Coturnix japonica: one gene and its partners. The protein of the gene in region 3 purifies or fractionates together with the protein of the main gene of each other region. This does not show direct contact. Links are inferred from orthologs where the notes say so. Each region holds a gene or a part of one and is shown on either strand. Other genes may lie near its edges. The genes, in order: ZDHHC5, CLDND1 and GOLGA7.

What was found.
Region 1: the proteins of GOLGA7 (region 3) and ZDHHC5 purify together in Homo sapiens (co-immunoprecipitation; 3 studies listed by BioGRID and IntAct, with this or other methods). This does not show direct contact. The link is inferred for Coturnix japonica from reciprocal best matches to the Homo sapiens genes GOLGA7 and ZDHHC5.
Region 2: the proteins of GOLGA7 (region 3) and CLDND1 purify together in Homo sapiens (affinity purification with mass spectrometry; 3 studies listed by BioGRID and IntAct, counting the BioPlex papers as one, with this or other methods). This does not show direct contact. The link is inferred for Coturnix japonica from reciprocal best matches to the Homo sapiens genes GOLGA7 and CLDND1.

Annotation. Positions count from the first base shown.
Region 1 is NC_029520.1:7,786,525-7,793,143, forward strand, and holds the start of ZDHHC5 (palmitoyltransferase ZDHHC5), read left to right. Parts: upstream 1-2,496; 5' UTR 2,497-2,621; intron 2,622-6,619. Other genes in the region: polyribonucleotide 5'-hydroxyl-kinase Clp1, read left to right, coding at 261-866, 1,478-2,149. UniProt on the Homo sapiens protein: Palmitoyltransferase that catalyzes the addition of palmitate onto various protein substrates such as CTNND2, CD36, GSDMD, NLRP3, NOD1, NOD2, STAT3 and S1PR1 thus plays a role in various biological processes including cell adhesion, inflammation, fatty acid uptake, bacterial sensing or cardiac functions.
Region 2 is NC_029516.1:74,504,879-74,511,304, reverse strand, and holds the end of CLDND1 (claudin domain-containing protein 1), read left to right. Parts: intron 1-2,194; 5' UTR 2,195-2,199; coding exon 2,200-2,488; intron 2,489-3,139; coding exon 3,140-3,247; intron 3,248-3,613; coding exon 3,614-3,751; intron 3,752-3,859; coding exon 3,860-4,080; 3' UTR 4,081-4,157; coding exon of another isoform or gene 4,158-4,158; 3' UTR 4,159-5,051; downstream 5,052-6,426. UniProt on the Homo sapiens protein: Plays a role in negatively regulating the permeability of cells to small molecules.
Region 3 is NC_029537.1:3,952,849-3,959,340, forward strand, and holds GOLGA7 (golgin subfamily A member 7), read left to right. Parts: upstream 1-2,090; 5' UTR 2,091-2,279; coding exon 2,280-2,390; intron 2,391-2,852; coding exon 2,853-3,005; intron 3,006-3,585; coding exon 3,586-3,687; intron 3,688-4,113; coding exon 4,114-4,161; 3' UTR 4,162-4,177; intron 4,178-4,712; exon of another isoform or gene 4,713-4,715; 3' UTR 4,716-5,914; downstream 5,915-6,492. Other genes in the region: GINS4 (DNA replication complex GINS protein SLD5), read left to right, coding at 6,099-6,191, 6,382-6,468. UniProt on the Homo sapiens protein: May be involved in protein transport from Golgi to cell surface. The ZDHHC9-GOLGA7 complex is a palmitoyltransferase specific for HRAS and NRAS.

The DNA of each region.
Region 1 (6,619 bases), on a different chromosome or scaffold from region 3:
GAGGCTGCGGGTGCGGCCCCCGATAGGAGCTGTACGGTGAGATACAGGCAGCACCGGGGGGCTGCCCGCAGAACCGGGCCCGGACTGCATCTCCCAGCACGCCCCATCCCGGTGATGGAGCGGGCTGCGCTACCACCTCAGTTCCGTCGCGTCCTGTGACGTAAGACGGCCCTGCTGCAGTCCGGGCTCCGTCCCGTGCTGCCCCGTCCCGTTCCCGGGGTCCAGCCGTGCCGCACTGCGCGGTGCGGTCGGGCCGGGCCATGGCGGATGATGGCGGCGATGAGAAGAAGCAGGTGGCAAAGTTCGAGCTGGAGCGGGAGACCGAGCTGCGCTTCGAAGTGGAGGCCTCGCAGACGGTGCAGATGGAGCTGCTGACCGGCATGGCCGAGGTGTTCGGCACCGAGCTGACCCGCAACAAGAAGTTCACGTTCGATGCCGGTGCCAAGGTGGCCGTGTTCACGTGGCACGGCTGCACCGTGCAGCTCAGCGGGCGCACCGAGGTGGCCTATGTCTCCAAGGACACCCCCATGCTGCTCTACCTCAACACACACACGGCCCTGGAGCAGATGAGGCGGCAGGCGGAGCGCGAGGACGAGCGGGGACCCCGCGTCATGGTGGTGGGCCCCACCGACGTGGGCAAGTCCACCGTGTGCCGCCTGCTGCTCAACTACGCCGTGCGCCTCGGCCGCCGGCCCACCTTCGTGGAGCTGGACGTGGGGCAGGGCTCCGTGTCCATCCCCGGCACCATGGGAGCCCTGTACATCGAGCGGCCGGCTGACGTGGAGGAGGGCTTCTCCCTGCAGGCCCCGCTGGTTTATCACTTTGGCTCCACCACACCCGGCACCAACATCAAGCTGTACAACAAGGTGAGTGTGTGGAGTCCCTGCTGTGTCACCTTGTGCTTGGCCCTGCTTGGAGCTCCAGGGTGTCTTGCCCGCCCCTGTGAGTCAGGGGTTGCCTATTGTATAAAACCGTGGTGCGATGCACCAACAAAAGCACGAAGGGTAAAAAGCTGGTCCAAATCCCCAGCGTCCTTCTCTGTCTGCAGTTTGGTGATGGTTAGGAGCCCCTATTTGGCTGAAGGTTGCCCTCAGCCACACGCTTGCCCTCGTCCTGTCTGTGCAACATTGGGATCAGCTCTGCTGATGTGGTCAAGCAGCCTTTAGTGCACGTAATGCACTTTATGGGCAGCTTCAGCACCAAATGCGGTTGCTGCCCCTCTGGGGCTATTAACTGGGAGGTGGGCAAGGAAGGATTTCAGCTCAAGTGACTGCCTGTGGCCCAGGCATTGCTTCTACCTCTTAGCACTAAATAAACCCACTGAGTGAGTTAGGAGCATTGCCTCTGATTGCTGTATCGCTAAGAATGGGACAGGTCCTCATCACATGGCCTCCAGCTGTGTGGATGCCTTGTGGGAATGGAAACATCCCTCTCAATCCCACATGCTTTATCCTCGTGTCCCAATATCTGCCTGCAGATCACATCCCGCCTGGCTGACGTCTTCAACCAGCGATGTGAAGTGAACCGTCGTGCGTCGGTCAGCGGCTGCGTCATCAACACATGCGGCTGGGTGAAAGGCTCTGGTTACCAGGCGCTGGTTCACGCTGCTTCGGCTTTTGAGGTAGATGTGGTGGTGGTGCTGGACCAGGAGCGGCTCTACAACGAGCTTAAGAGGGACCTGCCCCACTTTGTGCGCACTGTGCTGCTCCCCAAATCCGGTGGGGTGGTGGAGCGCTCCAAGGACTTCAGGCGGGAGTGCCGAGATGATCGCATCAGGGAGTATTTCTATGGCTTCCGGGGCTGCTTCTACCCCCACGCTTTCGATGTCAAGTTCTCTGATGTTAAGATCTACAAGGTGGGGGCTCCCACCATCCCCGACTCCTGCCTGCCGCTGGGCATGTCGCAGGAGGACAACCAGCTGAAGCTGGTGCCGGTGACTCCGGGTCGGGACATGGTGCATCACCTGCTGAGCGTCAGCATGGCCGACAGCCCCGACGACAACATCTCGGAGACCAGCGTGGCCGGCTTCATCGTGGTCACCGGGGTGGACCTGGAGCGCCAGGTGTTCACCGTGCTGTCTCCTGCCCCTCGCCCGCTGCCCAAGAACTTCCTGCTCATTATGGATATCCGCTTCATGGACCTCAAGTAGCTCCAGCAGGGATGGGGCAGGGGGGGACGTGCGGGATGGCCATGTGTGTCCTTGTACCACTTCTCATTGCCCAGCAGCTTCCATGCGCTGTGTTAGTGTGGGCACAGCTGGAGCAGGAGGCCATATGTTGTTTTTATATCCTTTTGTAACATTTGTTATTAAATTCATGTCTCTTTGGCTCTGTGCTGCTTGTTGCCTAGGCTGTAGGATGGAGGGATGGGCCCCTGGGTGCTGATCCCCTCTCCCCCCCGCCCCCCAGTGGCGCATGCGCGTGGCTGCTTCCCTTTTGGCGCATGCGCAGCGCGCTCCCCCGGCTCCTTCCAGTGTGTTCCCAGGCTCCGACCAATGAGGACGCGCTGCCGACGGGGCGGGACACGCATGCGCAGCCGTGACGTGGTGCCCATCCGCCGAGCGCTGCGCTCGCTCCGTGCCCGGTAGCGTTGGGCGCCGCCCGGGCCGCGCCGCAGTGTGGGTGAGTAACGCGGGATCCCCGCACGGCCCGTCCCGCTCTCGTCGCTCCCTTCTCCTCCCCTCATTGCCGGCCGTAGGGCCGCGGAGCCCCGGCCGCGCCGTGCCCCGGTGCCGCCTCCGAGCCCACGCCCGCCGCTTCACGGCTCGGCCGCTCCCGGCCCTGCCCGCCGCTTCCTCCCGGGCCCTGAGCGCTGACCCGGGAGTTGTTCGCGTCCTTCCGTGCGCGGGGCCGCGGAGCAGCGGCGTGTTGTGGGAGCGGCACTAAGGCCCGGCCGGTTCCGCCGCATTCGTAGGCAGGGACCTCGGTACAGCCACATCCAGCCCGGCTGGGGGCACCTGCCGCACTGCCTTCAGAGTAAAGAATTTCGCCTTATACTTAATCCAAATCTCCCCTCTTTTAGTTTAAAACCATCACTAGTCACACTCTGTCCTCACTGAAAGGCCCATTCCAGCTTTCCTGTAGCCTTTGTAGGTACTGGAAGGCCTCCTAGAGCCTGCTGTTCTCCAGGCTGACCAACCCATCTCCTTGCAGCCCTCAGCATCTGTGTGGAATCCCCTCTGACAGCTCCGTGTCCTTCTGGTGCTGGGAGCCCAGAGCTGCTTTGGAGGGTTGTGTGGTGCTGTGTTATGGAGGCTGGATGGTGGGGTAACAGAGTGCAGTTGTGCTCCTGAGTGCCATGAGGGTGGGCAGGGTTTGTGATTGAGGAGCAGACACTGGCACAGCAATGGCCTGTGTCAGGGTTTGGTTCTCGTGGCCCGTCAATGAGCAGAGGTTCAAGTCTCTGTGGCTGCAGGGCCCCGGCCCATGTGTTGCTGCCTTGTCCAGTGTGAAATTCCTCCTTGAAACACGCTTCCGCACGACGTTCTCCGGTGTTGGTGATGTAATGGGCTGTGCTGGCAGGTGTTCAGCCTGACTACTGCTAAGCAGCTCCAAATTATCAATGTGAAACGTGTTAATCCCAAGTTGTAGCTGAGCATACTGTTACATCTCCCTGAGATGACAGCAAAACCTCACAGTTCTTCCCTGCTCATCTCACTGGTTTAATGGGGAGACTCTGCCCTCCTGGTATCCATTACTGGTAGCTCCTTAGTATGTGATTGCTCCGCCATATGTCTGAACTGGATGCTTTGTAGGATCATCCTTCTTGCACTGATCTTTTCTGGGCTGTAAAACATGACTGCAGCCTTGTCTAGTTGGGAGTGAGGAGGTTGATCAACTTAGCGGGCTTAATCTAATCATCACCTCCAGTGAGGCGTTGTTCCTTAGCAGAGGACTTTGTTCTCATGGTTCCTGAGGTCAGGCAGGAGGTAACTGGGTGGAGCGGGGCCATCAGGAGACCTTCACCTCTCATTTTATACAAGGCTTTTTGTGGTGTTCCCCCCTTCTCCTGCTGCTGTTTCTTCTGCTGGTTGCTCCCTCTGAGCACCGGTGGTGGCAGGGCTGGGTTTGTGCATCGAGGAAGGTGCAGACACATTGGATGAGATTCTGTTCTTCCCTGCTTTGTCCGCAAAATGGGGCTAATCCCATGTAAACCGCTGAGATGGGCAGGGGAGGAATGGGAGCGATGTAAGCAAGGCCAGAGATAAGCACTGAGGGGTTGCTAGCCATGCTGGCTGCCTGCTCTGATGGTTTTGTGCTTTCCTTGGTAGCCTGCATCTCAGCAGCTGCTGCCTGGGTTGTTGTCTGTTGCAGGGATACCTCTTGCTCCTTGCTGTGCAGGGTTTATACAGTGAGCTCAGTGCAGAGGTGAGCTGGCTGGGACATGTTTCTCATCCTGTGAGTAGAAGGTGCCAAGGCGACTACGGATCCGGCCCTGGGATCACCTGCTTCATTCAGATCCTGTGTGCAGGCAGTGAAAACAAGGTGGGACCAGGTAGAGCACATCTTGTCTTTGTGTCGTCCCGGATCTGCCCTGATCGGGACTTGCATCACTCGGAAGGAATTGTTTGTCTCTTTGACCCGTGCTGGGGAAACTCAGCAGGACTGGTTTGGGGCAGGGAGGCAGCTGACGCACCACTGGAGCTCATAACTGAGAGTGAACTCTCTCCGCTCCGTGCCAGCTCCTTTCCCCGGGCGGTAACGAAAGGCAGGGTCGGGAAACCTTGTCACGTTGAGGCGCGCGCTTCCTTCTTCAAGGCTGGGAGTGCTTAGAGGAGCTGCGCTGCTTGTTGGCAGCGTTGGATGGCTCACGCATGGTGAGGAGTGTTTTCTTGTCCCATCTGATGCTTTGGAAAGATCAAGCCCTAAAGCAATACAGACTGTTGAGGCTGCGTGTGGATAGGTCGCTGGAAAGCAATGAGGTGGGGCAGTGGTGAGAAGGACAGGAGGAGCACGGAGCTTCAAGGAGCGAGTGCTGGAAATCAGACTCTTCAGGTTCTCAGCTGAAGAAAAGGCAGCGTGGACTAAAAGAGAAGCGTAAGGTGGCAGCGGTGGCGTTCGGAAGCATCCTGAGGGAAGGAATGGAGGATTTGGTGGAGTCCTCAGAAGCTGAGCGGAGATGGAGGTTGGACCCTCACATGGGTGGAGGGAAGCACATAAATAGGGAATGAGAATATGGGTGTGGGGAAATGGGGGCATTGGGACGAGCTCAGGGAGCAGCTGAGCTGCCTTGCCAGGCAGTAAGGCCAGCTGTGGGATGGGAGTATCAGTGAGGCAGGGGCTGAGTTGGGGACCCTCTGATGAACCTGGGCTCTCCCTTGGGTGTGGGATACCTGGGGTTGTGCTGGATAAGATGAACCAGGGGGAAAAACACAACAGAGGAAGAGGTGCCAGGGTTGGGAAAACAGGCAGAAATGCCAGAGGAGAGGGAAAATGGAGTAATCGGTGACACACAAGCCTAGTAAAGCTTGAATGGGAGGAGGAAGGAGTAGGGCAGGTCCTGAGAAGTATGGAAGGGAGGAGCTGCTGGGCTGGAAGAGGCGGAGAAGGGATCAGGATGGGAGCAGAGCACATACATTCCTCAGGTGAGTTGCGGTGGGGATAAAAGGTTTGGGAGGAAAAAAGGAGAGACTGAGGGTGGGCAGAGGTATAGCAGGAGAGATTGTCTGTTTGGGGTAATTGGTGTGTTACGTGGTCTGAATCGGTATAATCTGTGGGAAGGCAGGGTGGGTCCTGCATGTAGTTTGTGTTTCTCTAGGACATCAGTGTAAGTGATAAGAATGGTCGAGTTTCAGCATCATTTAGCCCCCAAGAAAAGAGAAGATACCTTAAGATTACGCTGCTGAGATCCCAGCCTGCAGTGCCACACCACACAGCGATTCAGGTGCAAACCAGGCTGCAGGAGGGCTGGACCTTGGACACACAGGTGCCCAAGCTGTAGTTTGCATATAAAGACAGGATTCTTCAGCAGAGAGCATTTGGGCACTGGAACAGCCTCCCCTTGGCAGTGGTCACAGACCCAAGCTGCCAGAACTCAAGGAGCATTTGGACAACGCTTTCCAACACAGGGCCTGAGTTTTGGAGCTAGGATTTGGACTCGGTGATGCTTTTGGGTCCCTTCCAACTCAGGATAGTCTGTGTTTCTGTCTTTACTCGTGCATTGATGTTGGGAGCTCTCTCCAGCGCTGCCTGATGCTCATTTCTTCACTAAGCTGAGCCCTCACATGGGCTTTTGCAACTGCCACAGTGTGCCGACTCACCCCGTGAGAGGAGTTGGAGCCCTTTAATATAGGCACCCGTCATTAGCTGGTGCCTTGGGAAGGGTTCAGGCAGAACTGAGCAGGACTTTGAACTGGGGAAGGCTTTAAGGGGAACTTCTGTGGACAACGTCTCATCTTGGACGAGGAGATTCGTCTGCGTAAGGAATGGGATGGAGGGGTGAGGAGTAGCATGGGGGCAAACTGAAATCTGCAAGTATCTGTTTGGATTTGAGGTGTGGCTGTTCTCATGGCGGAACCTTTCAAAGGGCCGGGGTGTCCTGTTACAGCTGAGGAGCACGTTAACAGATGGTTTCTGCTAAAGCAATTAGCAGTGATGTCATCTTTCAACTTGGGGGTAGC
Region 2 (6,426 bases), on a different chromosome or scaffold from region 3:
TTGTTTTTGACCCTTCAGTTTGCTTGTGACAGAACAGTGATATCAGCTGTGTCAGATCCACTGTATATTTTCCATTGTGTAGCAGACTGACCAGAAATGCGTGATTACATTTTAATGCTGCTCTGATTAAAAAAGTATTTCTAGCACCAGTGTTGTGGACCTGGCAGCAGGGATGTAGTATCTGAAGACAGTGCTTCTTGAACTGATTGCTGACGTGAGCCAGCAGTGTGTGCTAGAAGGCCATCTGTATTTTGGGCTGCATTAAAAGAGGAGTGGTTAGCAGGGGGAAGGAGATGATTGTCCCCCTCTACTCAGCTGTTCTGAGGCCCCCTCTGGAGTACTATGTCCAGGTCTGGGGCCTCCAGTACAGGAAGGACATAGAGCTCCTGGAGCAGGTGCAGAGGAGGGCCACTGAAATGATCAGAGGGCTGGAGCTTGAGGTTCTTGAATGTGAATGGACAATGCATCTACAAAACAAAAGACTGAACAGTATGCTGAGTATTTGCTTCTAAATCTTGTTGCTGTGTCTTCTGGATAAATAATCCCAGATATTATTTTCTCCTCCTGATATATTTATGTGGCTTATAAAGGTTCAGAGCTTGTGCGTTGCTTTTTAGAGTTACAAGTGTTGTGGTGTTTCAAGTGGGTACTACTTTTTAGTTCAGAAAAACATCAGTTCTACTCTTGATCATTTCTAAGGAGTAGTTAAATAAGGCATACTGTCTGTAATTATATCTCTTCCAATGTAGAAATGAGGCATAGGGAATGATATAAGTATAAGTAATCTCACTCCCAACTCCATTGGCCAGTTTGAACCAAGTAGAGGAGCAGGTAGGAGGGAAAAGAAATGAGAAGGGCATAGTTAACAGTAGATATTGGTGCCTTTGAAACTCCCTGCTTATTTTGCACCTTGTTTCTTAGTTTAGAAATTAGTGTTGGCACATCTGACTTGAGCGCTGACTTTTCTTTTTCCTTGTGAATGTTCTATGTTTAGGCATTTGCTGTTCCCAATTCATTCAACTTCAAAGGAGCTAGACTAAAATAAAATCAAACATACATATTTTGATTAAGATTTGTGGGGGATGGAAGATAAAATGAGCAGTAAAGAAGAACTGATTAGATTGTATGGTAGTTCATAACACCAGAACAGCTCTAGATGCAGAAGTGACTTCAGTTGATATTTCATTTGGCGAGATCATCAAGCCCTATTTATTGTTATCCATAGATTTAATTGAGCACCGCAGACACATCAAACACTTCAAAGTCTTCTGACATATCACAGTATCTACAAAATATTGTGTATTAGCAATCGGTTATTCACTGTAATCACAGTATTGTCCAAACGTAAGTGCATGTCATATCAGTTTTTTTCCTGTGCTGCCTTCACCCATGAGTTTGTGCTTTTATGTGGGCCTGTGAAGGAGGACCTTAATTACCTCTTGGAGCCAGAGCAAGATCCTCCTGGTGGTACGTGAAGGTATTTCAGCTTTGGAAGATACTGTCATCTAATGCCCATGTAACAGGGCATTCCCTTGGAAACATTTTAGCTCTTCAGAAATGCCTCTGCATATGCTGTTGTGTTATCTCAGCATTTATTGGATTTCCGTACTTGTCCTTCCCTGCTTCCTTTGTGTTATATCTCTGGTGCCTAGTGATACTTGATAGTTTTCTTAAAGGCATTCTGGCATTTTGGCATGGCCGCCCCTTGTGAATAGTCTGGAAGAGGCTATTTGGTATCTGTGTGGTTCTTACCTTTGCTGTCAACACAAGCTGTGAAAGTCATATGGGGCGGCAGGCTAAAAATAGCTTCTTCCCTTGCTAATCTCTTTAAGGAAAGGTAAATCTTCTGAGAGCTCTAGTTGGTTTTTTCTGCTTTCTGTGGTTGCCTACAGTCAAGATCAGAAGTGCCAGTGAGCTGTGTCACCTGCTTTGGGGGCAGAATTGCTGTTTCTCTCTCAGGGTGATGTATAGAGGCTGGGAGAAGAGAGATACCTGTGCCTTGAATTCACAGATCCAGTGAGTATGGAGTAGTACTGTAGACATAGCATTTATGTGCTTCTGGCATCTTAGAAAAGATGCATATCCTAAAGAAACATTGCATAACGGGAATGATGTACTGAGGCTGACACTGCTAAGATAACTTCATATTTAGCATCAGAGGAGTTACTCACTTGGACCTTCTTTCTTATTTCAGCAGCAATGATGGATAACCGTTTTGCTACAGCGCTGGTAATTGCATGTGTTCTCAGCCTCATCTCCACCATATATATGGCAGCTTCCTTGGGTACTGATTTCTGGTATGAGTATCATACTCTGTCCCCTGCTGAGAACATTACTGAAGCCGGCAGGAGCATCTGGGAAGAATTTGTCAGTGAAGAGGCAGATGAGAAGACCTACACAGATGCACTATTCCGATGCAACGGCACCGTTGGGTTGTGGAGGAGGTGCATTACTGTACCCAAAAACTCTCACTGGTACAGCCCACCAGGTATCTCTGGACTAATTCACACTTCACTTTCTTCACTCGGGAAGCTTATTTCTAACTCGTATGTTTACTTTTTAATAATGGCAATGTAAACTTCTAAAGGAGTGATATGGGAAATATCTCTGTCAATGCTACAGAATCTGAATTTGGTATATTGTATGTTATCTGAATTTAGTCTGCTGTAACTTAGGTTGGTGGGAGTTCTTTTGCACCTGCTGCACAACAGGTGATACGGTTATTATGGCTCTGCTAGTTATCCTCTGTCTGTGGGATCAAAGGGGAGGGGAAATCAAACTAACTACTTTAGCAAGACAACACTTGCTCCTTTTAGATGGTTATTTGTTTTCCTCATGTGTCACAAATGCCCCACTGTGACACCAGCAGATTTTGGAGCTGTTAGAGATAGAATGACAAACTTGGACAAATGTTGGTTGCTTTAAAGAAGTGTGGTGGAAATTCTGCATGTATAATGTTATGCCTTGTGCTAACTACTTTATCGTTACTATCAAGATATCCTACAAAATTGTTTTGGGAAGTATTTTTTTTCTTAGTCTGAAGTTGTACTTGGACAGTTTAAATGCTTAAGAGAATTGAATGAAGAAGGGGAGTTGGAAAAAGCTAATGGCAGTTGTCTGGTTGTTGTCGTTGTTCCAGAAACTGATATGACTACAAACTGCATCAGTTTTTCCCTCTCCGATCAGTTTATGGAGAAGTACATAGAGCCTGGAAATCACAACAGTGGCACAGATTTGAATCGGACTTGTAAGTGTCTTTCACATCTTGCAGGTAAAAACAGTGGGATCTAAAAAACAAAAAAGAAAAATAATGGGGTTTCCCAAATGCAGTCACTGGTGAGACAGCATCTGCATCTTGCTCTGCAGTTTGTTGGTTTCTTTGTTTGTTTTACAAGTAGTAGGTCAAAGCTTTAAAGGAAAACTTAGATGCTCTAGCAACAACTTTGGCCATGAGTATTCTACAGGAGTTTGGAAGTCTAAAGTTCTTTCTACTTTGGTGGAGCTTTTTGACCTTTTTAGCTAAACCAGTGAAGGAGTGTGGGTGGAAAGGAACACAGCATGGTGGAGAAGGTCAGTTCAATAAACCTGGTGTCTGTGTTTCTTTAATGTGCAGATCTCTGGCGATTGCAGTTTCTCCTGCCATTTGTTAGCCTTGGTCTTATGTGCTTTGGAGCTCTGATTGGGCTCTGTGCGTGCGCCTGTCGCAGCCTGTACCCTGCCATTGCCACTGGAGTCCTCCATTTTCTTGCAGGTAGGTCCTCTGCCATCCACCACTTACTCTCCCTCCGCTATAAGCTCTTAGTGACAGCCAGAGCACTTCAGCAATGAACTAACTGCACTTTTCTTCTGCTTCCCCCAGGACTTTGTACACTGGGCCTGGTTGGCTGCTATGTAGCTGGGATTGAACTGCTTCATAAGAAGCTGCCCCTACCTGGTGACGTGAGGGGTGAATTTGGCTGGTCCTTCTGCCTGGCCTGCGTCTCAGCACCTTTGCAGTTTATGGCAGCTGCTCTTTTCATCTGGGCAGCTCGCACCAACAGAAAGGAATTCACTCTCTTGAAAGCATACCGTGTAGCATAGTAAGTGCTGCTACCCCAGTATTAGGTTTCCATGTAAGAGACTCCCCTCACCCTTTATTACTTTTATTGTTCTTTCAGACAGGAATTTGGGCTTGTACTGCTCGCTATTTGCCAGTTGAAACAGAAAAACCTGCAGGCCCTGAAGACAAAGACCTTTGGGCTAAATGACCAGACTTTGCCAGAAGTTTGCAGAACTTAGTTTCTAAAAACAATTTTTAATATATATATTTTTAAGATTTCTTTGGTTGATTTTTCTTTGAATATCCCCTTAGTTAAATGTGTATCTCTTCTTAATTTTATTATCCTGTCAGCCTGGAGGAAATAGGAAAGGCATTGTGATGTGGAAGTGAGATAGGAAAAGGTGCAGGTAGGCAAGAATGGGAACTAGAGAGCACAAATAATAAATCATGGGTTGGGCACTCTCCATAGGCCTTAGAGCAGACAAAAAGCAGTGGAAGTGCTGTAGTTAAATCAGTGCTGTAGCTTAGCTTTAGGTCTCTTATTCTTGCTAGTTTGTTACTTTCTATGGCTTCTGCCAAAACTGACGTAAGCAGAGCAGCTGGCTATGTGAGTGGTTGCGTAGCACATTCCCCTAGACAGAGAATCTGTGCTGCTTTTGCTGTGGAAGAGGAGAAGTTTGCCTATGTGGAAGTTTGTGCTACTCTAGGTACGCTGCTTCCAGGTACCTGCACTACGTGTGTTTGTGCACTGTAATCTTAACTTGTGCTTTTTGCTTGCTGTGAAATAAGGCTTTCCTCTCTCCTGTTGTATCAAAGGCAAACCTTTACGACCTTTTTAACTCTGAATTTGATTTAGTGTATGTGTGTATATGTACATAATATAAACTTTTGTAAAACTCTTATTTTACCTACGTAATACATAATAGGATTTTTTTTTTTTAAAGGTGCTTCTCAATTCCCACCTTGCCCCAAATCTGTTGTTTAAGTGGAATAAAACAGTCCTCAAACTTTTGATGTGTGAATTTGTTGGGATAGGGAGGGAATGTTCTAGAATGATGGGAGTGGGGGTTGGGGTGGGACTGTGCATCTCTGTAGTCGGAAATATCACCAGAAACAAAGACACTTTGTTAGGTTTGTTATTCTTGAAGCCTTTCTAACACATTTGACACCGGAGGGATGCATACCCATTTCAGTTCTAATGAGCTCCCAGTCTTTGCATGTGTTTCTTCTAAGTTACTGCATTTTTGTCCAGGCTGGGTGGCCAGTCTTGCCTAGAAAAGTGTTCCAAGACTAAATTGTTTAATTCTGAAGGCTTAACTCCTCTCAGTTCCTTGCTTTGTGCTCAGTATAGGAAACGTGTTTTAGAAGAAATGAATCCTAAAAAGGAATGACACTGTTATCAAGGGTTCTGTGACTTACTACTGATGGGGATGACATGGAAGTTGGCACGTTGTCTCTCTGCTGTTGTCTTTTGTTTGAATAGGTGTTTGCTGGTTCCTTGAAGATCAGGGACCTTGTTAGTATAGTTTCTAAAGTACTATTTCTGGTTTGTGGTAGAGAACAGCCCACTTCTCCTTCTAGCATTGCTGCTGTCTTTACAAAGTGAACAGAGATAAGCACATGCGTGATTCTGAAAACCAAGATCGAAGTTCAGAAAGTCTTGCTGTCCAATACTTCGTCATCTCGCCAATTAAAATGATTTTCTGCAAACTCCAAGTCTATCTGAGCCTGATGAGAGGAGCTCTGATACTTCCTTGCATAATCTGAGAAAATACAGATGTTGTAGCTGCAGTTTATGAACTCACACTAGTTTGATGGGAATTTATGGAACAATTAAGAAGCTCCTGCATGGCTCAGGTAGGTAAGACCTAATGATGTTCAAGGCTGTTTCCCCCTACTGACAGAACCTGCACTGCATTCCCTGATGCTGGTTCACACTGAAGATTGCTGTAACATCCCTGGAACGGCAGTCTGCTGCGGTTTCTCATTTAAAACAGATCCTGTACGCCATTCCTAGGTGTGGGATCACACTGCATATTTCCATTATTCTGGTGCTTTTTACTGTCGTTGCTGTTACTTTCCTTTCTCAGACAACTCTGCGTCCTGATGCTGGTTTACACTACAGATGTCCTGGGTCAATTAAGTCCCTTAAATATCTTTTTGTTGCTGTTTCTGTTGTTGTTTACAGCTTACTTTCTTTGACAGCTGAAGTGTCTGACAGGTGCAGATTCAGTGTGGGCGATGACTGCCAAATTGATGGATCAGATCTGCCAGTGTATCACAAGGGAGGTCTGTCAGATGAAGAGTCCAACTGTTACTGTTACACCATGGTTTGTTTTTTTGTTGTTTCCTTTATATCAGCTATTTGTTTTTGTTTTCTTTGTTTG
Region 3 (6,492 bases):
CAGGTAAGTTTAGGTTGGAAGTTAGGAAACACTTCTTTACAGAAAGGGAAGTTAAACACTGGAATAGGCTCCCCAGAGAGGTGGTTGAGTTGCCACCCCTGGATGTGTATAAGAGCCATTTGGATGTGGTGCTCAGAGATATGATTTAGCATAGGGTTGTTAGAGTTAAGGTACTATGGTTAGGCTGCGGTTGGACTTGATGATCTTTGAGGTCTTTCCCAACCTGAGTAATTCTATGATTACATGGTTACCATTTCCAGGTTCAGCCTCCATGTTAGGTCAGCAAACCCAGGAGGTTCCCTCTGGTTACAGCATTTGCCAGCTTTTTTCACTCCAAAAACTCAACAGTGGGTATCTGTACCTGAAGATCCAGACACCCTGAAAATAGATATTTTTTGTTTCTATAAACTCCAGTAAAATCGTAGCTGGATCAAAGTTTGCATTCATCCTTCTAGAATATTTCATATGCACATAAAACATCTGAAACAATTTTAACATCACAATCTTAACTGCTTTCACATTGCAAGCAGCTAAAGGTTAAGGAAACGCATTCCATCTGGTGCAGCATTTGAAGCAGATCATTCCTGAGAGGACTTTCAGGCAGGCAATGGGGAATGGGCTGCAGGAATGGGGGCTCAGCTCATGCCACATTTTGTCCCCACGCTGCTCCAACTGACTGGGCGCTTCCTGCACAAGGCACAGGGGTTGTTTGTTCAAGCAGACCCACTAGGTGTTTATTAGTCTTCATTATGGAGTGCTAGAGGGTTAATTAGTTCAGGCTGCTCCTATTGGAGGGGGGGGGGGGGACAGGAGGGGGGTGCACAGAGATCACAGCAGCTGATAGCCGGGTTCCTGGGACACTCAGCACTCAGATTACATTTAGATCTCTAATGTCAGATCTCTATTTGTATTTTTCTCTGTTTCCTTTTTATCTCCTCCCCGAGCAATTTAAAGGTGTCATTATCACATTTGCAAACTGCTTAGCACAAAGAAGAGCCCTCCTTTGGGCTAGAGGGGTGCCTCTTCCCTAGCTGCCACCCCTGGGCTGTGTGCTGGGGACACTGACAGCTCTGTTTACTGTCTTTTATCATCACAACATTGTTAGTTTTGTCTGGAGCGTGACACGGCGGCTGCTTATTATGCCCTGTTAAAACTAAACCCAATAAATCATTCTTGTATTTGTTTCCTCCGTGTTGATTTGTGGCGTGGTCGGCAGGGGACAACAAACGCTTCATCAATCTCAGCAAAGCATTGAACCCTACAGATCAGAGCCCACGCAGCACTCCAGCACTTGGGGCTTTGGAGGCATGGGGTGCTGGAGAATAACCCTGACCACCAGCACGATGCCTCAGCCATTAACTGCCCTTGCATTAAGGCCTGATTAACGTAGCTTTAGCTTCCCATTGACCTCAGTACATGCACATTTTGCCTGCTTTGTTCAGAACTCTGCTCCCTTTGGAATTAGTTACATTCTGTGGGATAGGGGTAACCTGCAGCCTCACAAACCTCATCCACCCATTGCTACCCAACAGCTGCAAGCCCTTGTACCAAACTCATAACAGCTACAACCCAAACTCATAACATAACACCTCCCTATGGAGGGATGAAGTTACACCAGCCAAGAGATATCCCAATGCAGAACTGCTTTGTTAGCAAAGCAAGGCTCTGCTCTTATAAGGCAGGATCCATCCAGATCCAGCAGTCACTGCTGTGCAGTGGGTGCTCGGTGTCCCAATGGACACCCAGCACCCAACCAGGGGTCACTGTATGTGTCTGAACCCAGGCTCTGGATCCCCATCCTACATCTGTACTTACAAACACCCCTCCCATTGATAACGCATTGAATCTCCCTTCCAATTCACACAGCGTTTTATACGCCCTATATATATGACTAGAGACCGCTCTCAGCGCGCATGCGCGGATAGGCGGGGCGCGGCGAGGGGGCGTATCCGGACTGTGCCATGTGATCTGCAAGCGGGGGGGAGCGGGGCTGTACCACTCTACGGACGTCAGGGGGTGTGCGTGAGGTCACGAGTGCTGTGCGTCAGCTGCGATTGGTGGGACGGGTAGCGAGTGCTCATGCGTGAGCTTGACGCTCTGTTTCGCTCCGGCGCGTGCGCATGCGCACTGTCTCTCTCTCTGGGCCTGATGGGGGCGACGGCGCATGCGCGGAATATCGCTTCCGCCTTTTCCTTGGCCCGGAGCTGACCGGACGCGTTTAGCGCGGTGTGAACGGAGCGGCGGAGCCCGGAGGAGCGGAGCGAGGCGGCCGCGGTGCCATGAGGCCGCAACAAGCGCCCGTGTCGGGCAAAGTGTTCATCCAGCGTGATTACAGCGGGGGGACCCGCTGTCAGTTCCAGAGCAAGTTCCCGGCCGAGCTGGAGAACCGGGTAAAGCGGATCCCGTGCTTTATATTTACCCCCCCGCCATTGTATTGCTTTACAGACCCCCCCCATGGACAGTGCTGCATGAAGCACTAAGGAATTACTGCTTGTCTCTCATGCTCTAGCAGCCCGTTGTGTGTTAAGGAAGCTGCTTTTGTTTGTTGGTGGAATTACAGTTCCTTTAAATGCTTTGTGTTCAGGTTGTGTTGCAATTCAGGCTTGATATAACAACAATGATACAATTACAATTCAGGCTTGATATAACAACATCACAACAAAGAGTTTCAGGCCTGTAACTCACAGCACCCTCCACACTTTGAGCACACCTAAGTGGAAGATGGCAGTAGGTGATATTACTATGGGGAGGGGGGAAAAAAGACAAAGTGGGAATAAAAACAAGCAAGGGCTGTTATTAGAAGGTACTGCTGAGTTCTGAGCTGTGCTGGTTAAACCTGATTTCTCTTTCAGATCGATAGGCAGCAGTTTGAAGAGACTGTCCGGACACTGAATAACCTTTATGCTGAAGCTGAGAAGCTTGGGGGCCAGTCATACCTTGAGGGGTGTCTGGCCTGTCTGACTGCCTATACTATCTTCTTGTGCATGGAAACACATTATGAAAAGGTAGGTTTCTTTTGTTTTCCTTCTTTCTTAGAAAGTGGTATATCCTACAGACTTCAGATGCTTTATTTCCTGGTGGGTTTTCTGTGACTTGTACCTCAGTTGTATGAATTCCATATAGACTCTGGATCTTACTACGGGGTGACTTAACATCTACAGACAAGTCCGTCTGATATATGAGTTACCTGAGCAGTGTAACATTTTCTGTACAGAACAGTTTCTGTCTCTGGTGGGTATCGGTGCTCTCATGCTGGGTTCTCCTAATATTGTTATATCGGTGGTATTGCTGAGCTATGGCTCTAAGACGGGAAAACTTAATTAAGAAATCTAGTTTCATAAATCACAGAATCACAGAATGACCTGGGTTGGAAAGGACCTCAAGGATCATGTAGTTCCAACCCCCCTGCCTAGCAGGGCCACCAAACATACGCCTTTACTAGATCAGGTTGCCCAGGGCCCTGTCCAACCTGGTCATGAACACCTCCAAGGATGGGGCATCCACAGCCTCCCTGGGCAGCCTGTTCCAGGGCCTAACCACTCTCCTAGTGAATAAACTGTGACTTCCCTGCTGTTCTATTATCAGGTTCTAAAGAAAATTGCCAAGTTCATTCAGGAACAGAACGAGAAGATCTATGCTCCTCAGGGCCTCCTTCTGACCGATCCCATTGAAAGAGGACTAAGAGTTGTATCCTTGTGTGGTTTCTAAGATTATTTCTTAATTCTTTAATAATATGGTATCCTCTAGTCATGCTTGATCTGTGATACTGCGAAATACATGATCAGTCTTGTTACTCTCAGGTATGTGCTGTTCTTTGAGCAGATAAGTTTATTTCTGCCCTGTTGTGGAGCTTTTGCTGAGATTTAGGAGGAGATGGCAAGGTTCACAAGCTCTTTGTATGCAGCATCTTGTGTTCTTGTTGTCAGAACAATCCTGAGCTGCCATAGGTCGATCTGATCTGACAAGGCAGGTGAGCTGTTGTGTTTGTTTTGTAGCTCTTGAGTAAGCAGCTATGAAGCAGAAAGATCAAAAGTTCTAATATCATAATGATTTTTTCACTTTCATTTTTGTAAACTTCTTATAGTATATTTTCCTAACAGCCTTTCTACACAGATTGAAATTACCATTTATGAAGACAGAGGCATGAGCAGTGGAAGATAAAACTGTGGAGTCTCAGGTACATATCAGCATTACAGTAGATGCCAATCTCAGCTTCCTTTATGGTGCTCAGAGTGGTAGACTCTTCTGCTGAAACAGAATGTTTATCCAGCTACTGCATGTCATCAATGACTTTTTACTTAAGTCTTGTGTGGTGTAGGTTTTCTGAATGTGTGGTTAATTTCATGCTACTCTCAGTTCAAACAATAACAGATTTGACTTAAACAGTCAAGATTGGAATTTGGTAAAATATACATAAACTGAACTTGCACTGTATCAAGCCCAGAATGGCTTTCTGTATTTGAAGAGTCTTGATTTTTCACAAAGCTTTTCTGGCATAAGTCTCTACCCTTTCTGAGAAGTAATACTTCCTAATTGATGGTGCTTTACTGTTCTTCCTATTATGCTGTGAAAGATGCAGCTTTTCTTGAATGTTTTTAGAGGTACCTAAAAGCTTTTGTGTTTAAAGCATCTATGAAAAGGTCATAACCCATGTTAAGAATCACCTTGTATTTTGCCTGGCAATCAGTTCTAACATGTAACTTCTTTTCTAGCAGACAGCTCAACAGTGGACTTGCTGTATCAGTTCCCCTACCTCCTACTTTAGAGCATCATTCCTCTTTCTGCTGCCAGATCCACAGTGCCATTTTCTACAGGGACTGACTTCCTAAAACTACTCCACGTGGTGTGACCCAGCTGGTCAGCATTCATTTTGTGGCGAATTATTGAGCCTTGAGATCACTTTTAAGTTCCTAAAGGAAACGCAGAAGTGGTGAAGCTGCATATTCTTCTGACAGAACCGCATTAACCCAACAGAAGTTGGCTCTAGTCATGTAAATGTGGTGCCGTTCCTCCCCACTTCTTAAATCTTTCTGATTGGGCTTTGGAAACCTACAAGTCAGAGTGGAATTTTCCAGAAGAAAGGCTTTCCCTCGAGGTCAGTATTGCAGTGAGGGGATACGCAGTGCCTCTTCCCAGTGCAAAATGACTCAAGGCAATGAGCGTTGGAAGCGTCCTGTACTGATTCTTATGGAAAAACTAGAAGGCAAAAAATGTTTCTCGTTTTAATGTTTTGGTTATTCCTAGAAGAGAGGGACTTTATTCCTGGTGTTTTTTCTACTGCTGTGTATGTGCTGTTGTATGTCAGTGCTGAGCAGAAGAGGGAGAGTCTATAAAACAGGAAGTACAATAAAATGGATGCTGAACCAATAAACATAACTCTTCCCCTTCTCTGATTAATACGTGAAGTGTAAAACTGTTTCTTTATGAATTTATTATAACTTATAGGAAAACACTGATTCGACAGAGCTGTTGTGTGGGATGGTCTCATCACTCTTTGCCTGCTGGCGCACTATTGAGCTGTGTGTTATTTCCTCTCTTTTTGCATTGACATTCCTCAGCAATACCTAAAGCACGTTCCTAGGAACCAGGTTTGGGTTCATTCTTTTCTCTTTGCTCTTCTCAAGGAAAAATATGTTCAGAATTGAGCCATGATCCAATTATAGAAGGAATTCAAGAGCTTAGGAATAATATAGGAGAGATGGAGTGTTTTGGCTTTTGGTGGTGCTGTAGGTGCTACTGCGTCTGAAATTCCAGCCTTGTTCCTCAGCCAGTAACTTCTGTTTTGTGGGGTTTTTTGTTTTAATTTAATATTCTAACTGTATAAAACTTGTTTTCTAAGCTGTGGTTGCCTTTCATGTTTGTTGCGATACTGGCAGAAGTACTAATGGATCAGTAAATTTTTTCTTAAACCGTGTCTGTGGCCTGTTCAGTCGCGCTGTTTTGAGGTGTTTTGATGCTAAAAGCACATCCACAAGGCCTAGCAGGGCCGCACTGCTGCACCCCCTACGGCCGCCATTTTGTCATGGCTTGCGCCTGCGCTAGTGCAGAACATCCGGGTCGCGCTGTGCGCCTGCGCAGTGGAGCGGCGGCTTGTTGTAATGGCGGCGGCGGGCGGTGAGGAGCCGGACTCGGACGATGGCAGCGAGGAGCTGGTTCTTACCCCACTGCAGCTCATCCGCAGCCTGGAGCAGGTAGAGCGGGACAGGGATGAGCCCCGAGGGGACTTTTAGACCATCGGCAGCTGGAGCTGTCCGAGGAAGGAGCGGGGAGGATGACGGTCAGGCCTGTGGGCCCGCTGGGCGGGAAGGGGCGATGTGGGGACGGGGTCCCGGTGGTCGGTAGGAACTGTGTGGGCCTTTATCACATCGTGCTTCCTCCTAGGCCTGGATGAACGAGAAGTTTGCCCCCGAGCTGCTGGAGAGCAAACCGGAGATCATTGAGTGCGTGGTGGAGCAGCTGGACCACATGGTGTGTGCTATGGAGGGGGTGCTC